Linked DNA regions of Styela clava. Each later gene encodes a partner of the first gene's protein in a complex. Links are inferred from orthologs where the notes say so. Each region holds a gene or a part of one and is shown in the gene's direction. Other genes may lie near its edges.

Region 1 (8,422 bases):
TGACGTAATCCAGCTTTGAAAAGTTACGATTCCCTAACTTCTTCGCTTACGAATCGCATTGTGGAAAATAAGAAGTAATAACTACTAGTTTTCAAAATAGCCTCGAGGGATTCGGACTCTTTGCTTGTTGAAGTCTCATGTGTTTTGAATTTTTTTTACATTCGCGATACAATGGCGGCAAACGGAGTAGCTATAAGAGTTTGGTTGAAGGTTTTCGTATTGTGATATTTGGTGAAAACAAAGATGCTATTTTGGTATTGTGCCCCACTATAGTTAGACTAGGTTATCGCGCTGTCCTTCTCTCTTAATCTTAGTAGGCAATGAATTGAACGTAAGTCTTGTGTGTTTTGAAAATATTCTACATGCGCGCTACAATGGCGGCGAAAGGAGTATCTGTGAAATAATTTAGTAAAGGGTTTCCGTATGGCGATATTTAAGTAAAAATACAGGCGCTATTTTGGTATTGACCCGCCACATTCGTTAGGTTATCGCGCTATCATTTTCAAATCTCAGTAGAAGACAATTAATTGAACGTTTGTCTCATGTGTTTTGAAAATGCCTTACATATGCGCTGCAATGACAGCAAAGAGAGTTCAGATAAGGGTTTTCGTATTGCAATATTTACGTAAAAATACAAATTCTATTATGTTATTGTGCCCCACTAAGTTAGGCTAGTTTATCGCGCTATCATTTTCTCTTAATCTTGAGGCAATTAATTGTACGTATGTCTCGTGTGTTCATGCTACAATGGTGCTACAATCTGCGAGAATTTAGTAAAAGGTTATCGTATTGCGATAAAAATACAGATGTGTTTATATGTTGTGTTATTGCGCCCAGCACTCATAGAATAAGTTACGTTAGGTTATTGCCAAACTATTCTTATTGGACAAGAAGTGGACCTATCGTTTTCGTTCGTTATGTTGATTGTCGTTATTACTTATCGATCTTTAGATCGGTAAGTATGCTGATAGGTATTTGTCTGTTTGTCTGGTAGATGCACGCGATATCTCACGAAGGCGTGGTTGAATCTGCTCCAAATTTTGCATGTGCATTCACCAAATCTCGGACCAGAATTATTAAGTTATTAATTGATTAATAATTTTTTTTATAATTAGCGAGTTATTAATTAGTTTTCGATAAGTCTCCGACCGATATTCTCGTTTTTATCTCAGTAGGTAATGTTAGTAAAATAACGCGAGGCGTAATGTGGCGGCAAAATGTATATGTGAGAGTTTGGTAAAGGGTTTTGGTATTGTGATATTAAGAAAAAATACAGATGATATTCTCATTATTCTGCTATTGTGCCAACTAGTCGTAGTAAAGGCGAAAAAAAAAAGTTGTGGCAAAAAGTATGTGAAAGAGTAATATAAAGGGTTTTCGTATTTCAGGATTTCCAAAATATTTTGTATCCAAATCGTATTTCGGGATTTCCGCGGATATACACATGGGTTCAAATGTACGTGGGTTCAAATGTACGGTAACCCTTTTGTGGCAATATCGGGAATGGGAAGATTAAAATAATCAAATGCACAAAGCGCCGCATGTTTATTAAAGTGTAGAATACCAAACTGTTAGACGCTACTAATTTGTGGTAAGTTGTCAGTCGTATTGTATCATGAAGCCCGTACCAGGTAAAATAGCAAATTAGGATGAAGGAAGGTTCGAGTTAGGCACAATCGCATATTTCAGTGGTTCTTGAACTTTTTAAGCCGAGCCCCATTATCAGAATTCGTCAAGTTTCGCGTCTCATCTCAAAAAGTAGCTGACATAAGCTACACTAACAGATAGTAAGGCGAAAGTTTGTTTTATTCGGAAAACACGTTGAAAATGTGGATGTGGATCGAACGTTAATATCCAAAATAAAGAAATGTAAATATCCAAAATAAGGCGAGCAAGATCAAATTTAACAAATATTTTTATTTTTAATGAGCTTCACGCCCCTCAAAAAATTGCCTACGCCCCACCGTTTTGAGAACCACTGGCATATTCATTACAAATTGAATTGAAAATGGCTCAATGTCTACAAGACAGCTTTTCGTGTGGTTTGCAAAACATTACATATATTCATTAATTAGTTGGACTATTGTACAGGAAAGATTCAAATATTTTCTAAAGCACATTAGCCGCGCAGGTGTCAGTATCGTGTTTTACACGTTGGGGCGTTATCGTAAGAAAATATATTCCAACCACAAAAATATGTTAACTGGCTATCAAAGAAAGGTTATCTGTTTCGTCTACCCATAGGACGGGAAGTAAACAGTCGATGGGTAAATATTCAACATTCCAAATTGCCATAGTTAGCTATTTACACTTCTACGCGCTCAGCAGATGATAAACGACATGATTAATAAGGGCGTGATAAACAGCATGCGGTTCACAATAGCTATACCCGTAAATGTGATTGTAATTCCTTAAAATCAAATCTGGTGTCCAAATAGCACTCAAATATACTTCTATATGAGAGCAGGCCAATTATTTGGTGGCGGACACCGGAACGTAGTAATTATTTTAGTTCTTTTACGACTTCGGGGACTAGCAATATGACTCCCGTAGTATTTGTACCAGAAATTATGGCCTAACCCTAACCTGGTACGCTTACTAGGTTTCGGTGTCCGTCATCTTGGTTCACATATTTCGGTAGTACCAATTGATCGGCGATTCGGACCATATTTCCAACTTTATATTTCCAACCTCTCATCTACAATGAGCTTAAAAGCGTCCTTGGGGGAAACTATTTACATGACATTTAAGACCATATTATGTTCAACGCAAATTAAATATGTCTAGATAAGATAAAATCGACCAGATTTCGTGCCGTGGTCGAGTCAGAGTTTCGCTTCATTTCAATCTCAATGCACTTTGTAAAGCGTTCTAGTAACGCCGCGAACGTTGTGTGCACAGGCATAATGGCGGCATTTTTCTCGAGTTTTGCGCGTTGTGATGCGGCATTCGACCTGGCTTGCCCGCCCACGCAGTTCTTACTGCTGAACGTAATTTCAGATTTCTGCGAATTGAAGCGATAATACATTGCGATGCAGATTTTTACTACTATCAACGTTTACAATATTGTTGAATTAAAACAGATCTTTACATTTTGTTGGTCCTGTTTTCAGCTATATTTCAATGAGTTTGTAACAGCCTAAAATACTACATTTGTCTTAACGAAAGTTGGTCTAATTCAACGTTTCCCGACCGAATTAGAATGCTTTTGGGTAATATGAATAGTTTTTCTTTGTATTTGCATGTCTTGCTAATATTTCGTAATTATTTGGTATTCTTTATTGCATATTATATTCATACATTATGGCCTATTCAAAATGTACTAAAAAGTCAAGTTGCACATATCGCGAGCAATTGTTCCTGAAAGATTAAACAACCAAGGGAGGAATTTGAAACTTAAAAAGGCCAAGAGAGGAATGTGTCAAAGGGGGTTAGGAATGGCTGGTCTACTATATATTGTCAGAATGTTTCAGTCAAACTCCACCTGCACGGCAGAGGCAGGAAGTGGTGTTTAATAGCAAGTTTATGATTGAAATCATTATATCAAAACAAGGCGCATTTCCTCATTTATATACATCAGTTGACTGTTGATCTAGCCGGCAAATTGTGTTCAGTTAAGTTATAGTTGCAAGACATTTAAGTTATAGCTGTCCATTTAATACAGACAATTAGAGTCACCATAGGTCATTTGAAAAATATGGCCCAAGACAAACACAGGCAATAGATCTTTACCAACAAAACTTTCATTCTATGAGTTATTTCGTCCACACAGATGTACTTTATAAAATTCCCTCTACAATGTTTTGCCTCGTAGATGTTCTCAAGACATTGTTAACTTGATCAGTTTGAAATATTGTGACAACCTTTATCCACTGACAACTTTATTGAAAAATTAACCTATCTATATTTCCTAGCATACCAGTGGTTTCCTGCACCTCTTCAGTCAATACTATTTTTCGTTAGGAACAAGTTGGAGCAATCTTGCACGAATTAAACAAAACTAGGCGCATTTCCTCATTTATATACACCAGTTGACTTTTGATCTAACTGGCAAATGTGGTCAGTTATTGTTGCAAGACATTTAAGTTATAGTTGTTCATTTCAGTAGTGCATGAACCCTCCATTTGGTGCTATTTAATTTTCAAGTCAGGAACCACCAAACAAAATACCAGTTACGATAATACCAGTTACGATGTTTGCACAAGTTAGTAGTTTTCCATGTATTTATGCAGCGTTATGTGTAGTTAATCTGTTACAGATGGTTTTAGTCATATACTGCCATGCTTGGGATATATTCTGTTTTGTTAGTAATATATCCGTGCCATATATAAGCAATATTAAGTTGCCAGTCACATATGACTGCAAAGCATAAGTAAATAAAATTATGGATCAATGTAGCATTCTATCCCAGAAGGTGTTACTCATGTTTTTCAATAAATGAGAATATTATACATCTGTGGGCAAGTCTATTGCAGTCTCTCGACCTTGTGTGGTATAGGTATTTATGAGCAGAGGAGAATATATTATTAAAGTTCCTATTTGAAATTCTTTTAATCTATACATAACCATTCATTATTCAAGGAAGTAATGTCACCTCTTTTACTTTCCTTTTATGGTCATGGAATTGTGTTTCTGTGAGATTAGAATTTAAATGAGTTTCTGCATTTATAAATAGATATTATAAAGGAAATTCATGTCATTCTATTATCTGTTTATTGTCTACATTTAGCAGACACTGTATCCATAATTTAATTTTATCTGACCGTTAATAACCTTTGTCTTCCTTTGGTGCATTGTGACATCATACTGAAATCACAATTGGAATGGATATTCTGATGACAGAAGACCAGAAGCAGATGACAAAATGCCAACACAGAGACATGCCAGGGCATGGGCATTCCTCTACTGAATCAATTGAAAATAGACAAATTATGGTTTCAAAATCCATGCCACGGTTTTCAATAAGGACTTCAAATATATTATTGACTATTTTTACGCTTCATTGCCTTTTATTTATGACTCACAATTATGTGGAAGGATTTAATTTGGATGTTAAATTTCCTACTCTTGTTACGATACCGGAAAAGAAATCATATTTTGGATACACAGTAGGAATGTACTCAAGTGAAGGCGAATCTTGGTAAGTGAATATTTTAATAATATTTTGCTCAGAGCAAGGTCACGAACACTCACCCAGAAGTGAGGAAGATTCATCTCTCAGCAAAGTTATGGACAACTACTGAAATGCCCAGAGCTACAAGCACACACTCAGAGAAGTAATGAAGACTCATTTCTGAGGAAAGTCGCGGGTGATCAAGAAAGTTTCGAGAGAAATTGAAACTACAGTATATAGATTAATAGTAATACATTATGCCAGGGGTGTGCAAACTGTGGTTGCAGGCCACAAGAAAAAATAGTGCGGCCTGCGGAGAAGTGCCAATTTTAAATGATGTGCGGCCCTTGAAACGAGTTTTTAATTCAGTTCAATCTGGTGAGTGCGAGTAATTCCCAAGTTGCAAAGCCTATATCGGAACCAAATTTATTATCTATGCCTATGATGTCACAATGCCCTAACAGCTAGCTTGTGCGAAACGAACAACATATCATAATATCAACAACATATTTTTTGTGCCTGCAATTACTAGAGAGCCTATGTTAAATAAAGGTGTGGCCCAGTTATTTGTATGTGGCCCTCCAGTATTGAAGGTTGCACACCCCTGCATTACAGACTAGTAAATACTGATTGACACGAAACCTGAAGCAGTTCAATTCAATGGATGTTTCTCTGGTTAATTTTTTTTTTTATTTAGTACTATATAGGAAAAAATATTTCGGGGTCAAGGGTCGGGGAAACATCCATACCATCAGGAAAACAGCAAGAGATAGTAAATACTGCATATTGCAAATATTAGTGGTTTGGAAATCATGTGATTCCAATAGGAAATTAGGAATGTTCAAAGAAGTATAGGGTGTCTCAACTTTTTATAAAATTGCAAAGGGAAAGAAGAGCCGATATGCCGGCTCAATCATTTGGCGAACCACGGCCTCTCGTCCGGTTACCAGTCCATGTCGGGTATGGGATTAGTTAGCCAGGTATTTGTTTTCAGATGCATGGATTTGATGGTAGAGGAAGCCTCAACCGACCAGCAGTTATGTGAACCACCCATTAGTTATTGACATTACTTTGATCAAACTTATATGAATAATAAAAAAAGTTGTCTCATTATCTAGAAAGCTTGTGAGTGTTACATGTATCCAAATTTTCTTCTTCTCTCCCAAATTATCACATTGTCTCTGGAAAGCTTGTAGAGATATATGTCTCTAAATTTTCAGAATGAAAAGTTGAAGAAGAAACTTATATTTTGTCCAAGCTTGAATAGATTAATGTATAGCTGTTAAACATTACCCATCACATACTATGTGCTCTTCTAAAAATAATATCTCGGAACATGTTAAGGCACAGACAATACAGGACATACAACAGACATGAGTATGCTATTAGTTATTCCCCATAGACATTGATAACATCTGATCACATCTCACGGGAATTAATTAGACTAATTAGCTTTGTTTCTGCCTAATACAAGTTGGCAAGGCTAGACCACAACTTATTCAATGTAGTTTGTGGGTTATTCGGGTTGAAAGTTGATGTAATAGCCTGACATCTAGACTGACAGGAATGTCTATGATGGAAAAGATAATTATGCTACACTTTGTTTCATAATTTTCAATATTCTGAACCACCAACTTTGATCAATCAATTAATTTCATTTTGGTCACTCTGGCATAAAACTAAACAAGTAGGCCAACAAAATGCTGAAGACCTGGAGGACGGGCATAATATAGCAAGCAAAGTTTAACATACAAGTTTGGACCCATCCACCAAAAACAGTTGAAGAACATAATAAAATGAACATACATGATATATAATCAGGCAATAAATCTTAAATGCACAAAAATGAAAATACACTTCAGCAAACAGTGCGAATCGAACAATCCATGAGCTCGACTTCTTGTCCAGTAAAACACAAAACAAAGAGAACTATGGCAAACTGTGCGGGTTAAAACAAGCTTGTCTTAGATTTTGTACCTATGTCCAACATTGGGTTGCAAAATCATGGCAAGTATAGCCACAATTTTTTAAACGCATTTAATCAAAAATTGCATTTTGCTCATTGTAGAATCGTTTTATATACCGGTATGTATATCGTTATACCTGATTACATATGAGTTGAGCTTGAAAAAATATAATGTAAAAAATTGTGATAAATTATGAAAAGTTTATTTAATGTCAAAAAGTCCTAGTTTGCATTTTGTGCCAAAATACACACACACATGATTGCTTCACCATACCGATTATTGGTTATCAAATATTCATTAAAATAAAATAAATTTCGCCAGATATTGACTTTCTTTTACCAGGACCGTAATTCCACACTGTTTTATATCGATGTTTGAATAATTGTTGTAATGAATTAGGTAACCATCTATAAGCAGTCGATGATGATTATTTTTTTTCTCCTGACTTAAAAGGAGTGTTTTAATATTGTAAATATGTTTGCCTGTGCCTTGTCCTGATAAGAATCTGCTTTAGGGCTCGGTCAACCTTGCAGTCTTGCGCGCCCCTTTCGGATTATTACTTATCGATTTTAATCGGTAAGTATGTTGATAGGTATTTGTCTGCCTGTATGTCTGTTAGATGCACGCGATATCTTACGAAAGCGAGATTGATTCTAATCCAGATTTTGCATGTGCATTCATCTTATCTCGGACCAAAGTCTTTCCCTCTGTTCAGTATATATATAGATATTATAATATTAAAAGCATTAATTTTCTATTTTCAGGCTTATTGTTGGAGCTCCAAAATCTTTAGAACGTGGTGAAATATACAAATGCAAATATGAAGTTAACACGCACAGCAACTGTACAAGAATAAAAGTTTCTAAAGGTATATTTTATAAAATACAAAGTCAACTAATAGAAATTGCAGTGTTTCCGAGCTCAAATTGCCTACTTTGATAAATGCATTAAAAAGCGGGAACTTCCAAGTAAAAAGCTAATATTTTGCACCAGAATTTTCCATCTTATTGATAATAAGAACTATACACACACAAATTCAATGAAATTGAAAACAAAATTGCATGTCAGAGTGCCGAAAACCAACTCTAGTTATTGAGCGGCAGCACTTCGACACCACCGTTTCAACAAAAAAATGTTGACTCCAATCACCACAGTTTTAGTAACCATGAAAATAACAGTGTGAGACGGGCTCGCAATGTTAGACAGAAAACATATATAAATATAATTTAGTATATCAGCTTCATTCTTACTCTTTCGTAACAGATGATGTCCCATCTCAACAGATCAAAGATATGTTTGGAATGACAATGTTGACAGGAGAAGATAAACAGTTAATGGTAAG
Region 2 (8,919 bases), on another chromosome or scaffold:
CTCAATGATGTCTACAGAATTTGAGGGGATTTGACCTGTATGCGGCTGTACTGGTTCTATTGAAAAGTGAAATTCACTACGTGGACGATTTGTAATATTGCTTGCATTTCCGGTCTTAAAGCAAGTGAGGGTCGATTTCCGGATGTGAAATTGTCTGATTGGTTACGTTTGGCCAAGTTTGGTCCGAAATCACAATGCCTGACTATATAGATTTCTTCTTTGGCATTGCACATAAAAACGTCATCTCATGACAGGGAAATGGCAGTAATGCAACAAGTAATGGTTTTGAATTGGCAATAGTACAAGATATTGGAATCGCATTGAGTTTTAGCGCACGGTCTGTGGGCAGACAGCAAAGTTTCAATTACTTTCGTTTGTTTGTTATTTTGATTCATCTCGATTTTATATTTTCATTACAACAGTTGAGGTTTGATATGAAAATGACTTATGATTTTTAAAAAACGAAAATATATGTTGTAATGGAATCAGAATTGTATATATTTGCACAGCATTGGTTTGTTATTTTTACATACATATACCACTACCGTAAATTTGTAGTTGATTTGTGATTGCGCAATAGTTTGCTTGCTATTTCGTTATATAGCAACCCGTATTAGGTCATTCAGTAATCTATAAGTAAACTGTTATTGACAAAATTGATCTATTATATAGTTTTGAACTTGATCAATTTTGCTGCAGTACCATAATTAATATTATAGTTTAATGTGTCAAATTGTCTCATTACACATTCAAGCGAAAAATACATATAGAGAGTGATCGATGTAAATATTGAAACGAATAAAACTCACAAAATTCTATTCATTATATTGATGTAAAACGAAAAACGTAATTACTTTGTGCCTTTCATGAAATAAGCTTGAGTTTCAATGTCAATTTAATGTGTTCAGATAATGAAGGAAGATCAGGCAGGTGAGAAATGTTCAAATGTAGCAAACAACTATATAATCGATACTTTTCTTAGGTTCCGTAAAAAAGTGAACTATAGTGGTGGCAAATGATAATGATTTCAGCAATATATTGCCATGTAAAACTAATATGGTATTTAAGAACCGAATGTACCTAAACTGCTTTCTTTCGACAGAGTATTTATTTGGAACTCTATACTCCCTAAAACGTGATAGAACAAGTAAATTATGCTTTTGAATGGAGAGAAGTTTGAATGGAGAGAGTAAGACAAGGGGCACTTATGGTTAAAATGACAGAAAATTTCATTTTTTGTGATTTGTTGTTGCAAAGTTTTCATGAATCGGGATCTTATATTAGTTATTTTTAAAAAATCGCAATATGTAGTGGACTATGTTAATTATTGTATAAAATTGGCATTCATTTATCTATCGACTTTTTTTTATATATAGACAAATTAACTCATACAATCAAAGCAATTGATCCGCATTTCTGAGAAAACTTGGATTGTTGTAATGTGTCTTAATTCGTGATCAAAATAAATCCGAAACGGGACGAATTTAATGGATATATAATTTCCCCGTTCTATTTCTATGGCGCCTTAGAAGGTGATAACGAAAGATGGAAATATAAAGTACCGTGGATAGATATTGCCCTTGTTCTTACTACAAGTCGTTCATTCTTTTTAGTGTACCATTATCGACATTGTACTCTAACGACAGCAATATAAGATGATTATTATTTTATGATATTTTCAAACATATTTTCATCCCAATATTTTAGTTAGATTAAAATTTCAAATGTGAATTTTCTCAAGCACGTTGAAGTTTTTTGATCAATTATTTGTTAATCGATTTTGCTAAATTTATCGACTTTCAGACTTCACATAAATTCACAAAGACTGATAAAACTCTATCCCAGAATAAAATATTGATCACGTATTTTAAGTGCATAAAATGCACGTTTTGGGAATATATTGTAGTTTTGTGACGTTGATTGCACAGACGTCGGCGTATGAGAACACAATACATATAACAATATTCACACGAAGATCTGTTTAAGTATGGATGTTGTCGACACATAAACTTACATCATAGCATTCTTATAATATATTTAGCCCAATGGTGTGTATAGGTATTTTCGAATTGCGAATACTTTTTAGATTAGGCAGGATCAATAGCTATCACCACATTGTCAGAGTATGAACGAGAAATACACAGGATATGTAAAACTAACAAACATAGGGAGAAAAATAGTTTTATGGCTAAGAAAGCGAGTACTTAGAATATTGTTTGTATTAGATTTAAACTAAAAAGTCAAGCGAGCATTCTATTCCACATGTACGGCGAAAGCCTTTGTAGAAAGGGATTTGTCAATGATTCCACGATTTTTTTTATTGAAACTCTTCAGTGATTTTTCATTGATTTCGGTGCTTTTTCAAACAAATGAATTTCTTTTAAACGTCAGGATTGGTTTGGTTGAGTTTATGAAGTGAAAGAGGAATTTTTGTAAATGAATAAGAATATATTCCGAACCTAATTTATATTTTGTGACAATCGTTCCATTGGAACTTGACTAGTAAACAAGCATTACTTATTGAAATGAATGTTCTTTGAATTATTCATTGCAGATTAAATCCGTTGATAATTAATTTTTAGTAGCTTATTTATATCAAATTTTGTGTCAATTAGCTAGTTTTGTTCAATACAACTTCTAGACGTGTTTTTTGTGATACCGTATTGAAGAAAGCTAAAGAAAAGATATTCACAATGGCGCACATGGCTTGGTCGAATTGGGAAAATAAAGATGAATGTAAGTATTTTTATCGATTATTTGTCATGTTTATTCCTAGGCCTATCAATTCAACACACTCATTTCTTTTACTTTCAATGGTTATGGCATTACCACAAATATTTGTGACATGGTACAGCAGACTTAAGTGAGTTTGAAGTGGACCATTGAAATGCTTTGCTAACCTGTAGTTGTTCGTGCTCATGTTCGAGAAAACTACTGAACCAATGGTTTTCTAGTTTTCTTGAACATGAATGGTTTTGACAAATAACCGGCCTCTAGAGATCATGTCAAAGACCCATCAGACCACAAGATTCGCCACTTCAACTAAAGCAAAAGTGCCGTGGAATGATTTGGGAGATTTTAGCCATCCACAATGATGAATTGCTGGACGATGTGCACTGTTATAAAATACAAGATGACAAAAATCAGGTTAAAATAAAAAATGAAATAAAAGTTATCCATGGCGATATGAGAGTCCTGTACACGGACCGGATTGTACCGGCTTCAAAATAGCTGGAGGATGAGAAAAAGAGAAAACACTGCAAATCATATAGGCTATGGTGCTCCTCTGCCTCGCGTCGAGTTATCAGTCAAGATCTAATGAATTTTGGCAATCAAAAGCAAGCTCACTGTTTACGGGTGGGCAAGGTTTTTGAACCCAGGGCCATAAAATTTGCCCATCCACATTGGCGGGCCATGTAAGTGTGACGTAAAAGTTACATTATATGAACAATATTCACAGTGTTACAAGAGCAGACGTGGAAAGCAATAGGCCTCGTGCCGAAACTAAATTGAATCGCAAATTTACCAAATTCCTAGTTATTTTTAGCTGAAACATCAAAATTTGGTTTTAGTTTAGGTATGGCAGCATTAGGCAGTCCAGATTGAATTACTCAACTGGCCGGATTTGGCCCGCGGGCCGTAGTTTGTTCATGCCAGTTAAACCAACAAACCTCAAACGACAAACTGTCGATGTCCTCTCAATCAGTTCGGCGGAATTGAATATTTATCCTGCCTGTTGATTCTACAAATCGAAGGTCGGATCGTACGTTCATCGCTATTGGTTTTCCATTTTGAAGACGTCTGAAGGGTCGGTCTGTGTGTGAGTTATCCTTACGCATATTTGAATGGGCCCCCAATGCTGCAATGCATGAACATTTCTGGCGGATAGCGCGATAAACTACCCTATCCGCCAGACTAGGGTTAGTTCGGATACCTATAATTTTTACTATCCGGATAACGGATATATCCGGGTATTCCATATTTTAACTATCCGGTTGACCGGATAGTTACTGCTAATTTTAAAGATCCGATTTCGCAAGATTTTTACGGCGAATTGATCAAAAACCACCACACAGTTCTATTGTTAATAGCTCAAATTTGCAAGATCGCAAAAATACGAATAAAAACTGATATTATTTGTGCAGCTTACTACGTATTTTCATATATGCAGAATGCGGTGGCATTTTATAGTAGAAGTGCTTTAATTTCAACGTATGTCGACGCAATCGAGAGATACGTTGAACAGAGTTATTATGGAAAGACATTTTAAAATGCTCGAATCAGCCACAAATTGGTTATTTTGCGCAATAGAAAAATTTAAGAAGTTGAAAACATGCACATTACATGCATTCGTAAACCAAAAATTTAGAAATGCTACACAGATCACATAGATTACGAAGTATTGGGAATTAAGTCATGGCTTGTTCCAGCATGAAATGCGTTCCTTCAATACACGCAATAAACTAAAAGCCACACCTGACCAAAAAGCCACAAACCCACACCCACACATTCAATGCTTTTCAACCTAATTGGTGGCTAAATATGGGCAGAGTAGTGTGAATAGAAGGTGTTATTATATGCTCTGGAGTCTGGGAGATGTCAAGACGCCACTCAACAAAAAATATAAAAATTACTAATGCGCATATACATTATTTATATTCCTCTATTATCCGGTTAACCGTCACAATATTATCCGGATATCAGATAGTAAAATACCTCTCGGTTAATCGGTTATCCGGATAACCGCTATCCGGATAATCCAACTCTACGCCAGACATCGGTAGAATGAGACAACCGATTGGATACCGGTACCGGTACTTATTTGTAAGAATATTTGGTTTCGGTGATTAGACTTATACAAATTTGTTTTGGTGGGAGGCAGCACCGGTGGGTGTGCCAGTGACGTCATAGGTATTGCCGCCGTATACGGCTCATTCTTAATTCAGTAATTGCGTTTTCAGGATAATATGTGCGTTTGGCTTCCCCGACAGATCATTTAGATTTTTGAGGTACCGGGACGTTGAACTATATTATATTAATAACAAATAGACTAGAGTGTTCAGTTTTTCAAATGATAATCTAACATGGAATTCGCACAAAAATCCATTGTGCCGTTGTAGCATACGGTAACTGAACTGAACACAGTTCCGCAGTTTGAACTGCTGAGGTACGGTACCGGTACCGTACGGTATCCGCGAACATTCAACAGTTTCTGTCAATGTCAGAATGTGGCAGAAAGGAGATGTTGTTAATTCTGAAACAGCGGTAGCAGCATATACCAGTATACATATATCTGGATATAGTGAAATTATTGTACCTCATTATTTCAATATTTGAATGAATTAATTGATAACAATTGATGAACACATCACCAAACTCTGAAACTTATGAATTCAGTTGAATTAGAAGCATTGTAATTTGAAATTAAACAACGGATATACAAAATGTCATACCAGAAATCTCCCGCAAGAAGGGAACCGGAAAAATCTGAAGGATTTTTTTCATTAACACTTGGACGCAAGAAAAAGCAACGAGATTCTGGTATATTCAGATATTGGATGGAACTTTATCATACATTGGCAATTCTTTGTCAGATCATATAAAGATTGGTGTTGCCGCTCCCCTTTTCTATTGTAGATTTCTAGGTTCTTTGTTATCGAATCAAATATAAATTAATTTTTGTTAAATTATAAAGACCTGTGTTGCTATTTCTATTTCAAATTTTCAATGTACTAATGCCACAAATTACCCAATTACAGAATAGTGTCACCAAGTAATTGGTTGATTTGTAGTTGATATTGAATCAAATATAAAGCCACAAATTGTAATTTTTATGTGGCCATATTTTGATCATACAAATCTTATTATCAACTGTCATCAAAAGTATATTTTTAATCATAACTTTGTCAACTTGGCCTTTGGCGAGTAAAAACATTGTTATAATTGTGGTATCTTAAATTACTTTTGTTAAAATCGTTAGAATTTTTACTCCTTCCTTTTTTCGAAACTATTTTAATGTGAGTGTGTACTCTAACTTTTGATTTTCTCTTGCAGTAAATGCATTGGACATAGAAGCTCGAGATGCAATTGATGGAGGTACAGTCACACAAGAGATTGATCCTTCGAGTTTCCATTTAGAAGAAGGAGAAGAGAGATCTATGATCGATCAAAAATCAAGAGAAGCTAAAGATGTTGTGGATCTTGAGCGGGTGTGAATTGAATTTCATTAGAGTTGTACAGGGTGACCTAAAAACAGAACACATAAATTTCTTAATAAATACTTTAAAAAAATTATTTAATTTTGTTTAATTTAGTCCTAATAGTATGTGCGTGTGATTGACAACTCTGGATTCGTTACATTACTCACTCACTTTATGTGTGAATATTAAAAAAACTACATAATATATCATTATTCTTATTTAATTTTTTGTTTAATATACTACTGTTAATATATTGATTATAATGGTTGATGAAAACCCTGTCAAAGGACATTACCTAATTATTAATCTTGACAGCTCATGTTTGCTAATAGGTAAATTATATAGATAAAAAAAATTTCAGTAGGTCTAGTCTGGTAGTATTTCCGGCTGTTTCATCTGTTTGAACAAACCCTATTCCATCTGTTCTCCTCCAAGGGGGCCACAACGCAGTCAGAGAAGGCCACAATGCTAGACGCAAAACTCATTTTACTTTTCACTTTACAAGAAAACCTCGCGTTCTTCCTAGTTTCATTGCTCGATAAGGTTATTTCGCAGAGTGTTTTCACTTTGCTGAGTATAAATTGTTTGAACATATTGGGATTTGAAATCTACCAATCAAGATAACACTATAAATATCACTGATTTAATAAACAGGAAAGCCATGAGCCATAAAAGGTTGGAAACCACTGCCTTACTCTGATTGCTTCTGTTTTAGGTTCTCATGGAATGGATTGATGATGTTCTTGTCGAACAAAGAATTATTGTTAAAAATATACAAGAAGATTTGTTTGATGGACAAGTTTTGCAGAAACTTTTAGAAAAACTTGGTGATGTCAAGTTACAGGTTGGCTTGACTTTTTTCTATTATCGTTCTATTTCTTTACTCCTGCCAAACCTATCTCAATCTTGCTCATATTGAGTGTAAAAATTACTCACTGTTTTAATGAGATAGCTAGTCAATTACAACGGGGAGTTTTTCTGTAATATAATTTTTAATACCTTTCCAAGATAAATTCAAATTTAGACATGACATTGTTTCTGTATACCTATACAACAAAAATATGATATTGTACTACGAAACATTTAGGTTCCGGAAGTTACGCAAACAGCTCAAGGACAAAAAGATAAACTCAGGGCAGTTCTAGATAAAGTCAGTCAACAACTACAAATACAAAGCTGGAATGAAACTAAATGGAGTGTTGATAGTAAGTATTTTACAATGTAATTTTTTTTAGGACACACACAAGCATAATCCAAGAAAATAAAATTTAAATTTTAGCTCGCATTTTTGTTAATTATAATTATCAAGACTGCTTTCTGAAAATGATTATGATCGGAACATTCTGTGTCATCAGTTTTTTTTGACTTATCTCAATAGGATAGGATTTTCATATTTTAAAGGGAAAGAGTGAAGCCTATAAGACAGCTTAATTATATTGTTAATTATGACATCTCATCCAGTTACTAGCCCACTACACACTTGATTATCTTGTAAGGATTCAAAACCACACCATGCCATTTCCATGACTATAGACAAGCTCTTTCGAGACATATTTTACCTAAAATTTTTTGGTACTCCCGAAGTATGTGTGCCAGGTTGAGGTTGGGCCATAATTTTATTTCGATTTTCCTTATTTTAGTGCTATTACGAGTTCGAGGAATGTCTGTGTTAGCCGAGTAAATATCCCCCTGCCCATAGGTTTCAGTCCCTTCACATAACTTGATGTAAAATAGGCGAACAAAATTGGTGACCTCCATATTGGCATACATACTTCTCGAGCGCCAATTTTTTTAATTCAGTGTTTTTCTGAAATCATTACTGCTGTGTTTATGACTTTTCACCTTTTTCAGGTATCCATTCAAAGAATCTTATTGCAATACTTCATTTACTAGTAGCACTTGCTGCCCATTATAAAGCACCGATACGATTGCCAGAAGATGTTCATATTAAAGTATGTTGTTTTTATATGCTGCTTATGTATCATTATTCTATTATTATTTGTGTATTTGGCTGTGATATATTTTAATTCTAGCTTGATAAATCAAGTCCTTAATTGTAAATTATGCAATTCCAACTTCTGCAGATAAATACCCTTTCATGTGATCATTACTTACATTTATCAAATCTTATTTTTATCCCATAATCATTTTTGAAATAAGGAATCTTCAGTATTCATGACATTTTTATATAACAATTTAAATGTCAATTGTTTTTGTCCGTCTGTTATAAGGTTGTAGATGTATTTGTATATCATCAGGTCAATACTTGATATTTATGGACTCATTAACTTTCTTTTTTGTCTGTCTTCAATTATTCTTAAACGATTGAAACACTTTTCTTTAGGTTGTTGTTGTCAAGAAAGTTGGTGGAAAGTTAGAACACAGAATGGTTGAGGAGCAAATCACTTCTACCATGGAGTAAGTTGAATTGTAAAATGTATCTAATTATTTCAATTGCTTTGTAATAAATTACGATATGTTATAAATAATGAATTGAAATATAGGTATCATTCGTTATAATCGAGTGATGTTTTTGTCCTGTGAAAGAAAAGTTTGCCTAATTGACAAAATAGCCCTCTGTTTTATTGCAGTACTAAACTAATATGTTGTTAAAATTATTTTCCTCACATGCAAGACAGGACTAGATCTTTATATTACAAACACCCTATTGATCTGGGTGGAATGAATCATTAGAAAAATTATTGAAATTCAATCATTT

Evidence for each region. Proteins that work in one complex are often made in the same cells at the same time.
Region 2: integrin alpha-V-like (region 1) and beta-parvin-like share a complex: the UniProt entries of both Caenorhabditis elegans proteins name them as parts of the integrin containing attachment complex. The link is inferred for Styela clava from reciprocal best matches to the Caenorhabditis elegans genes pat-2 and pat-6.

What each region holds. Positions count from the first base shown.
Region 1 is NC_135263.1:3,185,843-3,194,264, forward strand, and holds the start of integrin alpha-V-like, read left to right. Parts: upstream 1-4,729; 5' UTR 4,730-4,823; coding exon 4,824-5,140; intron 5,141-7,844; coding exon 7,845-7,948; intron 7,949-8,343; coding exon 8,344-8,417; intron 8,418-8,422. UniProt on the Caenorhabditis elegans protein: Required for muscle development probably through the regulation of the actin-myosin cytoskeleton. Component of an integrin containing attachment complex, which is required for muscle maintenance.
Region 2 is NC_135255.1:14,757,493-14,766,411, reverse strand, and holds the start of beta-parvin-like, read left to right. Parts: upstream 1-5,297; 5' UTR 5,298-5,444; coding exon 5,445-5,541; intron 5,542-6,054; coding exon 6,055-6,209; intron 6,210-6,915; coding exon 6,916-7,044; intron 7,045-7,287; coding exon 7,288-7,405; intron 7,406-8,051; coding exon 8,052-8,152; intron 8,153-8,544; coding exon 8,545-8,618; intron 8,619-8,919. UniProt on the Caenorhabditis elegans protein: Involved in the regulation of cell adhesion and cytoskeleton organization. Component of an integrin containing attachment complex, which is required for muscle development and maintenance.